Arabidopsis thaliana: one gene and its partners. The protein of the gene in region 1 purifies or fractionates together with the protein of each later gene. This does not show direct contact. Each region holds a gene or a part of one and is shown on either strand. Other genes may lie near its edges.

Evidence for each region.
Region 2: the proteins of MAC3B (region 1) and AT5G52490 fractionate together in Arabidopsis thaliana (co-fractionation; one large-scale study listed by BioGRID). This does not show direct contact.
Region 3: the proteins of MAC3B (region 1) and FIB1 fractionate together in Arabidopsis thaliana (co-fractionation; one large-scale study listed by BioGRID). This does not show direct contact.

Annotation. Positions count from the first base shown.
Region 1 is NC_003071.7:14,129,236-14,132,990, reverse strand, and holds the start of MAC3B (MOS4-associated complex 3B), read left to right. Parts: upstream 1-1,766; 5' UTR 1,767-1,990; coding exon 1,991-2,003; intron 2,004-2,098; coding exon 2,099-2,184; intron 2,185-2,431; coding exon 2,432-2,503; intron 2,504-2,589; coding exon 2,590-2,652; intron 2,653-2,990; coding exon 2,991-3,077; intron 3,078-3,226; coding exon 3,227-3,368; intron 3,369-3,457; coding exon 3,458-3,579; intron 3,580-3,755. UniProt on the Arabidopsis thaliana protein: Probable ubiquitin-protein ligase which is mainly involved pre-mRNA splicing and DNA repair. Component of the MAC complex that probably regulates defense responses through transcriptional control and thereby is essential for plant innate immunity.
Region 2 is NC_003076.8:21,297,150-21,300,795, forward strand, and holds AT5G52490 (Fibrillarin family protein), read left to right. Parts: upstream 1-1,707; coding exon 1,708-1,726; intron 1,727-1,962; coding exon 1,963-2,336; intron 2,337-2,418; coding exon 2,419-2,496; intron 2,497-2,588; coding exon 2,589-2,834; intron 2,835-2,928; coding exon 2,929-3,090; downstream 3,091-3,646. Other genes in the region: AT5G52480 (RNI-like superfamily protein), read right to left, coding at 1-345, 465-613. UniProt on the Arabidopsis thaliana protein: S-adenosyl-L-methionine-dependent methyltransferase that has the ability to methylate both RNAs and proteins. Involved in pre-rRNA processing.
Region 3 is NC_003076.8:21,292,350-21,296,104, forward strand, and holds the start of FIB1 (fibrillarin 1), read left to right. Parts: upstream 1-1,797; 5' UTR 1,798-1,940; coding exon 1,941-1,959; intron 1,960-2,208; coding exon 2,209-2,516; intron 2,517-2,598; coding exon 2,599-2,694; intron 2,695-2,790; coding exon 2,791-2,868; intron 2,869-2,965; coding exon 2,966-3,142; intron 3,143-3,386; exon of another isoform or gene 3,387-3,460; intron 3,461-3,755. Other genes in the region: EDA41 (FBD, F-box and Leucine Rich Repeat domains containing protein), read right to left, coding at 26-345, 434-572, 667-1,107, 1,200-1,409. UniProt on the Arabidopsis thaliana protein: S-adenosyl-L-methionine-dependent methyltransferase that has the ability to methylate both RNAs and proteins. Involved in pre-rRNA processing.

The DNA of each region.
Region 1 (3,755 bases):
GGCTACATGCTCGAGATCTCATTATCGGTACGTAAGACACAAACAAAAGTACGAGTCGTACGTGTTATCCATCAAACTATAACTTACGAGTGTTTATTTCACATTTATAGTCTTCAAATAGGTAAACACGGATTCACTTTTTGTTTAAGCCCACGATTTACATTTGTACTTGTGTTGCCGATAAAAATAAAATATTATTTTAATGGTTTTGAAAGCGTTTTTGGTTACTATAGTAGATCTTAAGTGTTTTTTGTATTTCACTTATTTCATTACATGGAAAATATAGTTCTCTTCTTTTTATTTGTTCTAATCATGAGACATCAACATCGCCTTTCAGTATCTTATTTTGGTCACAAAAGTCTATCTACCATTTGAAAATCATTGTCAAGAGTCTATCTAGTTATTCTATGTCCAAAAATATTATTACTTCACTTTCAAGTCGTCTGCACAAACTAAATTTTATATGAGGTTTTTTTTTTGAACACAAAATTGTGTATGAGCTTAAACTACACTACACACGTGCATAATAGCGATTAAGACACATATTATAAGGATTATCTGGGTGTAGAAGTTCAGAATTTGGGATTACGAGAATTGCAATAAATTGTTTACAGATTAAAATTTAACGAAAGGAAATTAAAATAAAAGTAAAACAGCTTAAGATCAAAGCTGATTTGATGAATTGATACTTTTGAAGATATGACCATCTTCATATAAAGTCTGAAATGCAATATATGCATCACGCATTATCCAAATAGAAAACGACCACCACTTTAATTTCAAGATATAAAACCAATACCTAAAATGAAGAAAATTTATATATGCATGTGCATCTGTAATATATAATCAACCATTAATTATCTATATATAATTACGATTCACCAATATTAATTACATAATCTCAAACGTTATACGTACGTATTATTTAGGGTTGAAAACAAAACAAAATGTCATGCGTATATGAACTATACATATGCGTCATTAGCTCGTTCTTCAATCTAGGTTTAATATGAAAAATAATTTTTTCTTCATAAATATCTTTTTCTTGGAGCATTGTTTTTTTTTTCTTTTTTCTTTTTTTCTTGGAGCATTGTATTTGTATGAGAGTTCGCTTTCATCTTTGGATCCTAAGAATATAACTTTTATGCAAATAGAAAGGACACAGCTATTGTGCTTAGGATGGTACCCTCATCGTCCTATCTTTAGACATTAAAAATAAAATACCATTGATTTTGACCTTAGGTATATAATTTGTATATCGAACCCGTGGAGGTCGCATTTGCAACGTGAATCCATAACGATATACCAACAGATAAACCATATCTCTAATTGTCAATGAAATGTACAAACATATATCCCTTATTCTTTCATCTTAGAACATATTTTTAGGATCTCTTGAACGGTTGATTTTGTTTGTTGTGATCGAGGATATGTTGTTAATTGTTATTTGATTGTTGGTGAGTATGGAGTGTTGGTGGGTAATGGGTATAAGATAGGCGATTAAGATGCAAAGAACAAACCTACCTCGGTCTCATTCGATATTTGTGCTCGTTCTTTAGATTAAAACATAGTCGCAACAACATATAACAAAAAAAAATCTGTAACAAAACAATGGGTTTGTTTTATAATCTAATGAGTAAATGTACATGAATCAACCAAAATTACTGAATGCCCAATTTTAGTTCAACATGAGTTAAAACAGATTTTAAAACTAATATAAAACGTCGTCAATTTCAAATTCTAATGGTTGGATCGATTTAAAAGCCCAAATATAAGAAGGTGATCGTTAAAGGCCCAATTAAATTGAATCCCTAATATATCAAGTGAGAGTGTTAATCGTCGTCTCTCTCTTCAACCATTTCCCGGCTTCCGCGTTTTTGCTTTGTAGCGCCGGACCGGAGAAGATAAAACCCTTGCTCCGCCCCACTCACAGGAAGTTCTACATCGACCTGAGTTCTCGTACTTCGTCGTATCACTCGTTCTTCCTACGATGAACTGTGCAAGTAAAGCTTTCAGTCGTCTCTCTCTATTTTTTCTCAATATGCCGATTTAGGGTTTTCTTATGGTTGATGTTGGTGGCGGCACTGTGTTCTTTCAGTTTCAGGAGAAGTTCCCGTGGAGCCAGTGGTTTCGACGAAGTCAGGATTACTCTTCGAGAGACGACTAATCGAAAGACATATATCGGTAAGCTTTGAGCTGAATTAAGCACTGCCAAGTACTTTTACCGTCTTGTTTTTTTTGTTCTCACTGGAAGGATTTCTCGTAATTTGAGTGATGTTGTTTGGTTTACTTCGGATGATTCTTGTAGCACTGTGAAATTATCGAGAAATTCTTTTGGGCACCAATGAGATCCGATCTCCAGTGAGAGCTCTTTTAGATTATCACGCCACTTGGAAATGAATGATTTCTTCTAAATTATTTTCCTCTGTAGGATTATGGGAAGTGCCCGGTTACTGGCGAACCACTTACCATTGATGACATTGTTCCCATCAAAACTGGGGAGGTAGTGTAATCTCTTTAACTATTTGATGCAAAGTACTGTTGACGATATTTGTTTGAGATTTTTTAATGTAATTGTCAATTGTGTAGATCATAAAGCCGAAAACATTGCATACAGCTAGTATCCCTGGATTGCTCGGAACGTTCCAGAATGTAAGCTTTAATTGTTCTTTTGCAAATTTGTTCCTACCTTTTCTCTTGGATTTATGCTTGTTTTCTTAATGGGAAGTTCACTAAGAAATGTCACAATGTTTTATGTTATTGGTCATGTAGAGTTTGGTTGATTGACTTAAAATAAATTTTCCAAGGTTGTTTCTTAAATGTATACAAGATTCGTTTAACTGAACACATTGGCCTCTTCTCTTTAGTAACATTATTACGCGGATCACCTGCTCCTTTTCTGAGTGCTAATCAACATAAATTGTTCATTTTTTTGGGATGAATTATTCGAAGTAATTGCGTGAGAAGTTTAGCTGCTTTGCATTTTTTAGGAATGGGACGGTTTGATGCTATCAAATTTTGCACTGGAGCAACAACTACATACTGCAAGGCAAGAGCTAAGTCATGCCTTGTATCAGGTAATTTTGGCTGTGTGTTTCTGTCACCAGTTTATGAGGTGCCATGGTCAATAAATTTGTTTTATGCACCCTAGATTTATTTTCCTCACTCATTTCATCTTTTAGTGTGTTTAGTCTACTGATGGGACTGTTTTACCTTCTGTTTGCAGCATGATTCTGCTTGTCGTGTGATTGCTAGACTTAAAAAAGAAAGAGACGAAGCACGCCAATTACTGGCCGAGGTTGAGAGACATATACCTGCGGCCCCTGAAGCTGTGACAGCTAATGCTGCTCTGAGTAATGGTAAACGAGGTATGATTGTACACTTTTTACTCAAAATATATTGGCTAGTTATTTTTTCCTCTTGTAACATGTCACTATACTCTTTTGTTGTATAATAGCTGCCGTTGACGAGGAACTGGGTCCTGATGCAAAGAAATTGTGTCCTGGAATTTCAGCTGAAATTATTACGGAATTGACTGATTGTAATGCTGCTCTTTCCCAGAAGCGAAAAAAGCGACAGGTACTGCACATAGACTCGTATCTATCTTTGAATATGCATTTGAATGTTAGAAGGCAAGACCTGACGACTTGCTACGTTTATGTATTTTTTCTTGTTTGTAGAGGCATGTGATTTATACTCACTATATCTATTTAGATCCTAGTATTCGGTTTGAAACTTAACTAAAAAAATGTTGC
Region 2 (3,646 bases), on another chromosome or scaffold:
CGTAAATCGAGGTGTTCCAGGTGAGGACAACCGTCAAGAATGGCGTTTAAGCCTGTTTTGGTTAGTTTGTTCCCACAAAGCTGGAGATGGCGTAGTTTAGGCATGCTTTCTGCAATTGCTATGGCATCATGATCATCATCATCCGAACTTAAGTAAAAGAGGCGGTTTAGCATCAATGTCTTCAGATTTGGACAAGACAGCCCTGCAAGTTTCATAGACTCTCCTGACAATGATATTCCTGAAACCTCAAGCTCTTCAAGCATTGGAAGTTTCACAACTGCTTGAACAAATCCATCGTCTGTTATTTCTGAGCACATTAGTCTAAGGCTTCTAAGATTACTTGACCTACAAGTAATGGTGTGTAAAAAGTTATAAATCATAATCTTGAGATATCTGTTTTTAACAGACACTTGAAGACTTACATGAAAAGTAATCAAAAGTCAAAACTAGAATTAGAGGAGAACCTCTCCGCGATGTATGTAAGGAGAGAATCACTCCCGAAGTCCCCAATGTTGATCTCCAGCAAGCCACCCTCGCTACGATCAACGGCGTTACGACATATCGCCTCAGGATTGTTCACCAGTACTGGTTTGTTGTAACTCAAGATTCGCATGTCGATTTTACGCCATATGGATGGGTCTTTACAAACATATCGTCACGATCTACACACTTTCTGAGCGTTCTCCAGTATCTCAGTCACGCTAAGACGTAGCAGAATCAAACACATCAAATCCGTCGGAAGATCCGCCCAGTTTTTTGGCTCTTCGTTTTTCATCAGTGAAGACAGCGGATCCATTTCTGATGAGGATCAAAATGTCAAATCTGTGAAATATATATATCAGAAAGTCATTTAGTTTTAGGCCTTCTTTGATTATTTGTAGATTCTAAGTAGTTTTTGGTTTTAGTTTTAGGCCTTGAATGGTAGTAGATTCTAAAATGGTTTCTAGTTTGCATAAAAAAGTTTCCTGAAAAGCTAAGAAATCTAAATTTTTAATTTTTTATTAATTAATGAAAAGCAAAAAAAAAAAATCTATTTATGCAAACTAGACACCATTTTAGAATTTACAATCATTCAAGGCCTTAATTGTTTATTAACTAATGAAAAAAAAATCAATTTTATGAGTTTTTTGTCCAACTTCGTGTGATTTTTTTTCCTCTTCTTGTTTTGTTTAAACTAATGATTGTTTTGGACTTTAAAGTCAGAAGGCATCTCTGATTACTTGATCTGCAATATAAAGTTATAACAATAAGATGCAAAATTTTACAATCTAGTCCTTATGGCACTAAGTTTACGAAAACAATTCATGTCTAATAAGCCCATTACCTGAATTAATTATTGGGCCTTAAGCTCCTAATATTCTGACCTTTTGTATTTCAAAATCATGTATTCCTTGCATAACAAGAAATCTGATGGTGGTGATTCGATAAAAAGAGTTCGATAGGATCTGAAATCTTCCTACAAGAAGTAAACTGTTTAACAGAATTTGTTAAATGTAATAAATAAAAACTTTTCCATATTTATCGGAAAAATAAATGGAACCTTTCCAGCTTTCCTATACCAACTCCAAATTCCAATAGATAAACATTCTTAAACCCTAGCAGGGGCTCGATAAAAACTAAAAAATAAAAAAACCAAACACGAAAGCTGCAAACATCGATTAACATCAACCTTCTCTTTGTTGCTTTCGCTCTCGCTCTATAGCAAAGATGAAACCTCCCCAAAGAGGTTAGAACCCTAGCAGCCGTTTTGTTTTACTACTTGTTTAATTTCTCTGTTCGACCTATAGTATAGGGTTGAGGGTTGTTAACTCCAAATTCGTTTTGTCACAATATATCTACCTGAATTGCTTGTTACGTAAACTGTTTTGAGTCTTCACTTCTTCAATCCAAGTTTAATAGGAGATTTAATAATACTCTCTTCTGATTAGTTAATTTCGGTTTTATCTGTATGATTATGCTCAGGACGTGGTGGTGGTGTTAGAGGTGGAAGAGGTTTAGCCAGAGGCGGTGAAGGAAGTGCCGTAAGAGGCAGTGGAAGAGGCGGCGAAAGTGGCCGTGGAAGAGGGCCTGGAAGAGTTAAAAGTGAATCGGACGGTGGAATTAAGGGAGGAAGCAAAGTGTTAGTGACACCACACAGGCACGCAGGAGTGTTTGTTGCCAAAAGTAAAGCAGATGCTCTTGTAACCAAGAACTTAGTTCCTGGTGAAATCATTTACAATGAGAAGAGAATCTTTGTTCAGAACGAAGACCGATCTACTGTTGAATACAGAGTTTGGAACCCTCATAGATCTAAGTTAGCTGATGCTATTACCACTGGTGTTGATAACATTTGGATCGTAAGTCCCATAACTTAAAGTAACAATCTCTTTTATTCTTCTGTTACCGAAACTAATGAATACTTGTTTCTTGAAATTGTAGAAACCTGGTGTTAAAGTTCTGTACCTTGGTGCTTCTTCTGGATACACCGTGTCTCATGTCTCTGACATTGTTGGTCCAGTAAGTGAACACTAAACCTTAAACCCTAACTTTTAAGATTGAGTGAGTGTTTTCTCTCTATGTTACTTATATCTAGCTTTTCTGATTGGTAGGAGGGATGTGTTTACGCTGTTGAGCATTCTGATATTTGTGGTAAAGTTTTGATGAACATGGCGGAGAAGAGAACTAATGTTATACCAATCATTGAAGATGCTAGACATCCTGCTAAATATAGAATGCTTGTGGGAATGGTTGATATCATATTCTCTGATGTTAATCACCCTGAGCAAGCTAACATATTAAGTCTCAATGCTTCTTATTTCCTCAAATCTGGAGGGCACTTTATGATCTCTATAAAGGTTTGTAACAAAACTTTTTTGACCATTGATTCAAATCAAAATCATTCTCTTTTTAGTGTGCATTGTTTGGTTAACTCTAAGTTACTTGTTTCAGGCGAATTCTATAGACTCAACAATTGCAGCAGAAACTGTGTATCAGATGGAAGTGGAGAAGTTACAAATGGAAGAGTTGAGACCAACAGAGATATTGCATCTTGACTCTTGTGAGGAAAAGCATGCTTGTGTTTTTGGTGGATATCGCTTGCCTAGGAAGTAAAAAGCTGATACTGCTATCTAATTAGGAAGCTGATACTCTTTACTTAGTTTGTGATTGTTAAAATTCATACACATTCATGAGGCTTTAAAATTATTATTTTTCTCTGATTCTCACTGTGATTTGTCTTCTAACTAGTATGAGTTTTAAGAAGTTGAGTTTTGCAAAAACAAAAGGTAGAATACACATACATTTTGAGTTGAATTCTAGTATTTATATTTTGGTTTGTTTTATCGAACGTGGAACTAACACAACGTTACATTGAAGAATCATTCATTGTGATTTGAGATTTTCAATGTGATTTTAAAAGTTTGTTATCGATAATATGATTTTGTGGAAGTGTAATTTCAAATTTGTAGACAGAAAGTGAAACTCTGCTTGTTCATCAATTTATGTTTCCTTAGACATAATTGATAAATACATTGTTTTGTGTTTATGACAAAGAGAAGACGATAATTAGCTGAAAATAATCACATTATTCAAATATGTTCCAAAGAATAAAATTTTTGCACTATTTGCTATTTTCAGTTCTGCCTTCTAATAGATTAAACTTTCGTAA
Region 3 (3,755 bases), on another chromosome or scaffold:
CAAATGGTAAGAGAATATACATTCTTCATTTAAACACAAGCGTAGACGTTGTTGAAACTCTAGGCATAGACTTTAAGACCGTTTCTATCACCTCTCTCTCTTCAAGATGGAAGGTTGATATCTCTCTCTTCAAGATTGAAGATTGAAAATGTTCCCATATAGATGTGACTGTCACTTTCTTTAAACACTTTGCATTAGCAAAAATGTATCTTATGAGCTGTGTCTCTTCTTCGTTTCCTCTATATCCATGCCACACAAACTCCTCATCTAAATGAGCCGACAAGCATCTGGGAACAGTACCTTGGTTGGTACCATGACAATGGGAGATTTCCGGGTCGATATCCACTTACCTGGATGCAAGTACATAAAAATCTATGAGGTGGAATCAAAGAATCAGTTTATACAACAAGGAGATTGCGTTGTTACTTGTTACTTACAGAAGTGATAGCAAGAAATCTTAGTTTAGGAGAGTTGTTGAGAATTAGTGGAATTATATCCAACCAGAGATGGCCATGTGGACATATCACTAATTTTCCAAGTCGAGTGAAGGTAAAGCCACGAAAATCCAGAGCCTTCAATGACTAAATCAAAAGCCAATATAAATCAATGTGATCAAACCTAACAGCCAAGAAGAAAAAAAACAATAATAATAAAAAGGATAGATACCATTGGATCTTCCAAAGGTAACACAAGATACGTGACCAAGGAAATAGCTTTGAGAAACTTGTCATCAGTATGACATACAACGTCGATATGTGGCTTTTCAAGGCGAAGCTTATGCACCTTCGCGAAACGGTAGTCCCGGTTATCACTGATGGCGAGGCCCACTTTCGATCGGGCAAGAACTGAGCAACTTGATATAAGCCTCTCTAGAGAATTTTCATCTTTGAACACCACATAAAAAAGGCGTAATATGTTGAGTGACGGGAGGCAAACCGAAGAAGGAACATCCACTATAATCTTGTCCGAAAGAGTCAATTCCACAAGTGTTTTGCATGTGTAAAGACTCTTAGGCAAGCTGGTAGGCTCTGCCGTCCAGTGGAGCTCTAACTCTAGCTTGCGCACAAAGCGATCAACTGCATTTGCAACTAATTTCCCAACATCTACCTCAATAGAAAATTTTTACCGAGTTGGATGCACAAAGTTTCTAGAAAAGGTGCCTTGTGAAGTTCCAATAACTTTTCAAGAAACTTCCACACGCTTTCGCATTCATCACCAGGATCACTGTACTCGAGTTTAGGCAACAACGTCCAGACATAACGCCATCGTTTTGACAATATCATTGTCCCAACTGCATCTTTGATCGGTACAAGCAACAAAATCTGGATAAGCAAATCGTCGGGCAACGAACTGATCTCGTCTCTAGAAGCAACAACCTCTTCATCAATTCTTTGACAACGTTCGGCCATTAGTGATGTAATAGCTAGCTGAGTTTGTGATAAAGATTTCAAATATAGGTAAGCAGAGACGAGGAGGAGCAAGTCGAACCCTAAAAACTTTAGATGATCGAGAACCTTAGATATATTCGTAATTTCTCTATGAGAAATTGAGAATAAGTGAATAACTAACTCTTCTTGTCTCACAAAAATAAAACCCTAACTTATCTTTTCCGTGAGACATAAACAAACCCACTTTGGGCCAATAAAATCGGCCCATTATTATCTTGACCCAATCCGGATCAAACCCAACTCCATACTTTGGAGTTTGGACCCATCGTTACCAATGTAGTAGACTAATGTAGTTAAGATATATATAATAGAAGGGCCTATTTATAAAATACAAGAAATGTTACCAAAGCATAAACCCTAAAAGCCCTAAAATCTTAATATATAAACCAACTCACAGAGACTCTAAAATCAGCCACCACCGCACATCTCTCTCCTTTGCCCTCGTTTTTTTTCGGTTCTCGTCTTTCGTTCTTCACTTTTAGACAAGCAAATATGAGACCCCCAGTTACAGGTAAGAACCTTAGTTAAAGTTTATGTCTTTCTTGTTCTGTCTGCCTCTAGAGTATAACCCTGTCCGTATCAAATCTGAATTCGTATCATTACGGTTTCTGTAGTTTGAATTGGTAGTTAGGGTTTTAATTCATGAGCCTTTTGTATCTTCACTGTTTCAATAAAGTTCAAAGATAAAAGTAGAGATTTTTAATAACACTCTGTTCTTCCGTTTAGTTAATTTTCTGTATGTTGGTATTGTTATAATCAGGAGGACGTGGTGGTGGAGGATTCAGAGGTGGAAGAGATGGTGGTGGAAGAGGTTTTGGAGGTGGAAGAAGCTTTGGAGGAGGCCGTAGTGGTGACAGAGGCCGTAGTGGGCCTCGCGGCAGAGGACGTGGTGCGCCTCGTGGTCGTGGAGGACCACCTCGTGGAGGAATGAAAGGAGGAAGCAAAGTGATTGTTGAGCCTCACAGACATGCGGGAGTGTTTATTGCTAAGGGTAAAGAAGATGCTCTTGTCACTAAGAATTTGGTTCCTGGTGAAGCTGTTTACAATGAGAAGAGAATCTCTGTTCAGGTATGAAGTTTGAGGATTGTTTTCTTTATAATTAAATTGAGTTTGTTTTTGTTCTTATATTATAGCTACTTCACTTTTGCAGAATGAAGATGGAACTAAGGTTGAATACAGAGTTTGGAATCCGTTTAGATCTAAGTTAGCTGCTGCAATTCTTGGTGGTGTCGACAACATTTGGATCGTAAGTCCATCTATACACATACCACATTGACTCTGTTTTCTTTTTTTGTATTGAAAGACATGTGCTTGAATTGGTTCTTTGTTAAAACTTTTGTAGAAACCTGGTGCCAAAGTTCTTTACTTGGGTGCTGCTTCTGGGACCACTGTCTCTCATGTTTCTGACCTCGTTGGCCCTGTAAGTCTTTCACTAAATTATTATTTTAGTTATCCGTAGGTCCATTTCTATCCTATGTTTGAGACTTATCTTTGTTCTATTGCTTTATGATTTGTAGGAGGGATGTGTTTATGCTGTTGAGTTTTCTCATAGAAGTGGTAGAGATTTGGTGAACATGGCCAAGAAGAGAACTAACGTTATTCCAATCATTGAAGATGCTAGACATCCGGCTAAGTACAGAATGCTCGTGGGCATGGTTGATGTCATATTCTCTGATGTTGCTCAGCCAGATCAGGTTTGGTTCTATATTTCTTACTATGAAAGTTTGAAGTTACCCTTTCTACAGTTTTATTCACAAAGGTTACGTCATATTGCATTGCATCTTTTGCTTTTAAAATATCAGTTCATTGAAATCGGCATATGATGACATTTCATTTACTATGAAATGTTTGAAGCCTTTTTATTTTACAGTTATATCTTCAAAGTTTTTTTTTATTGCATTGCATCTTTTGCTTTTAAAAAAATCAGTACAATGAAATCGGCAGATGATGATTTTACTTGGATTCCCCTTCAGAACATTTATGGGTGTTGCAAACTCCAAGCTTCTGATGCTACTTTGTATCTTTTTACTAAAATTTTTTACTTTGAACATGCAAATCTGTTTTAATCTCAAAGTTTTTATTTGTCTTCATTTGGTATATCTTATCGATTTGGAAGAAGTCTTTTCGGTTTCTTCTGGTTTTCAACAATTGCATTTTCAAGTCATTTAGAAGTTTTACTTTATTACTAAACTTGGAGACTCAATTGTTGTAGCAATATTGCTGAGCTAGCAGAGATTGCTCCAAGAAATCTGCAATGATTCCATAAATGTTTCTATGTTTATGTTAATGTCTCTCTTTATTCTCATT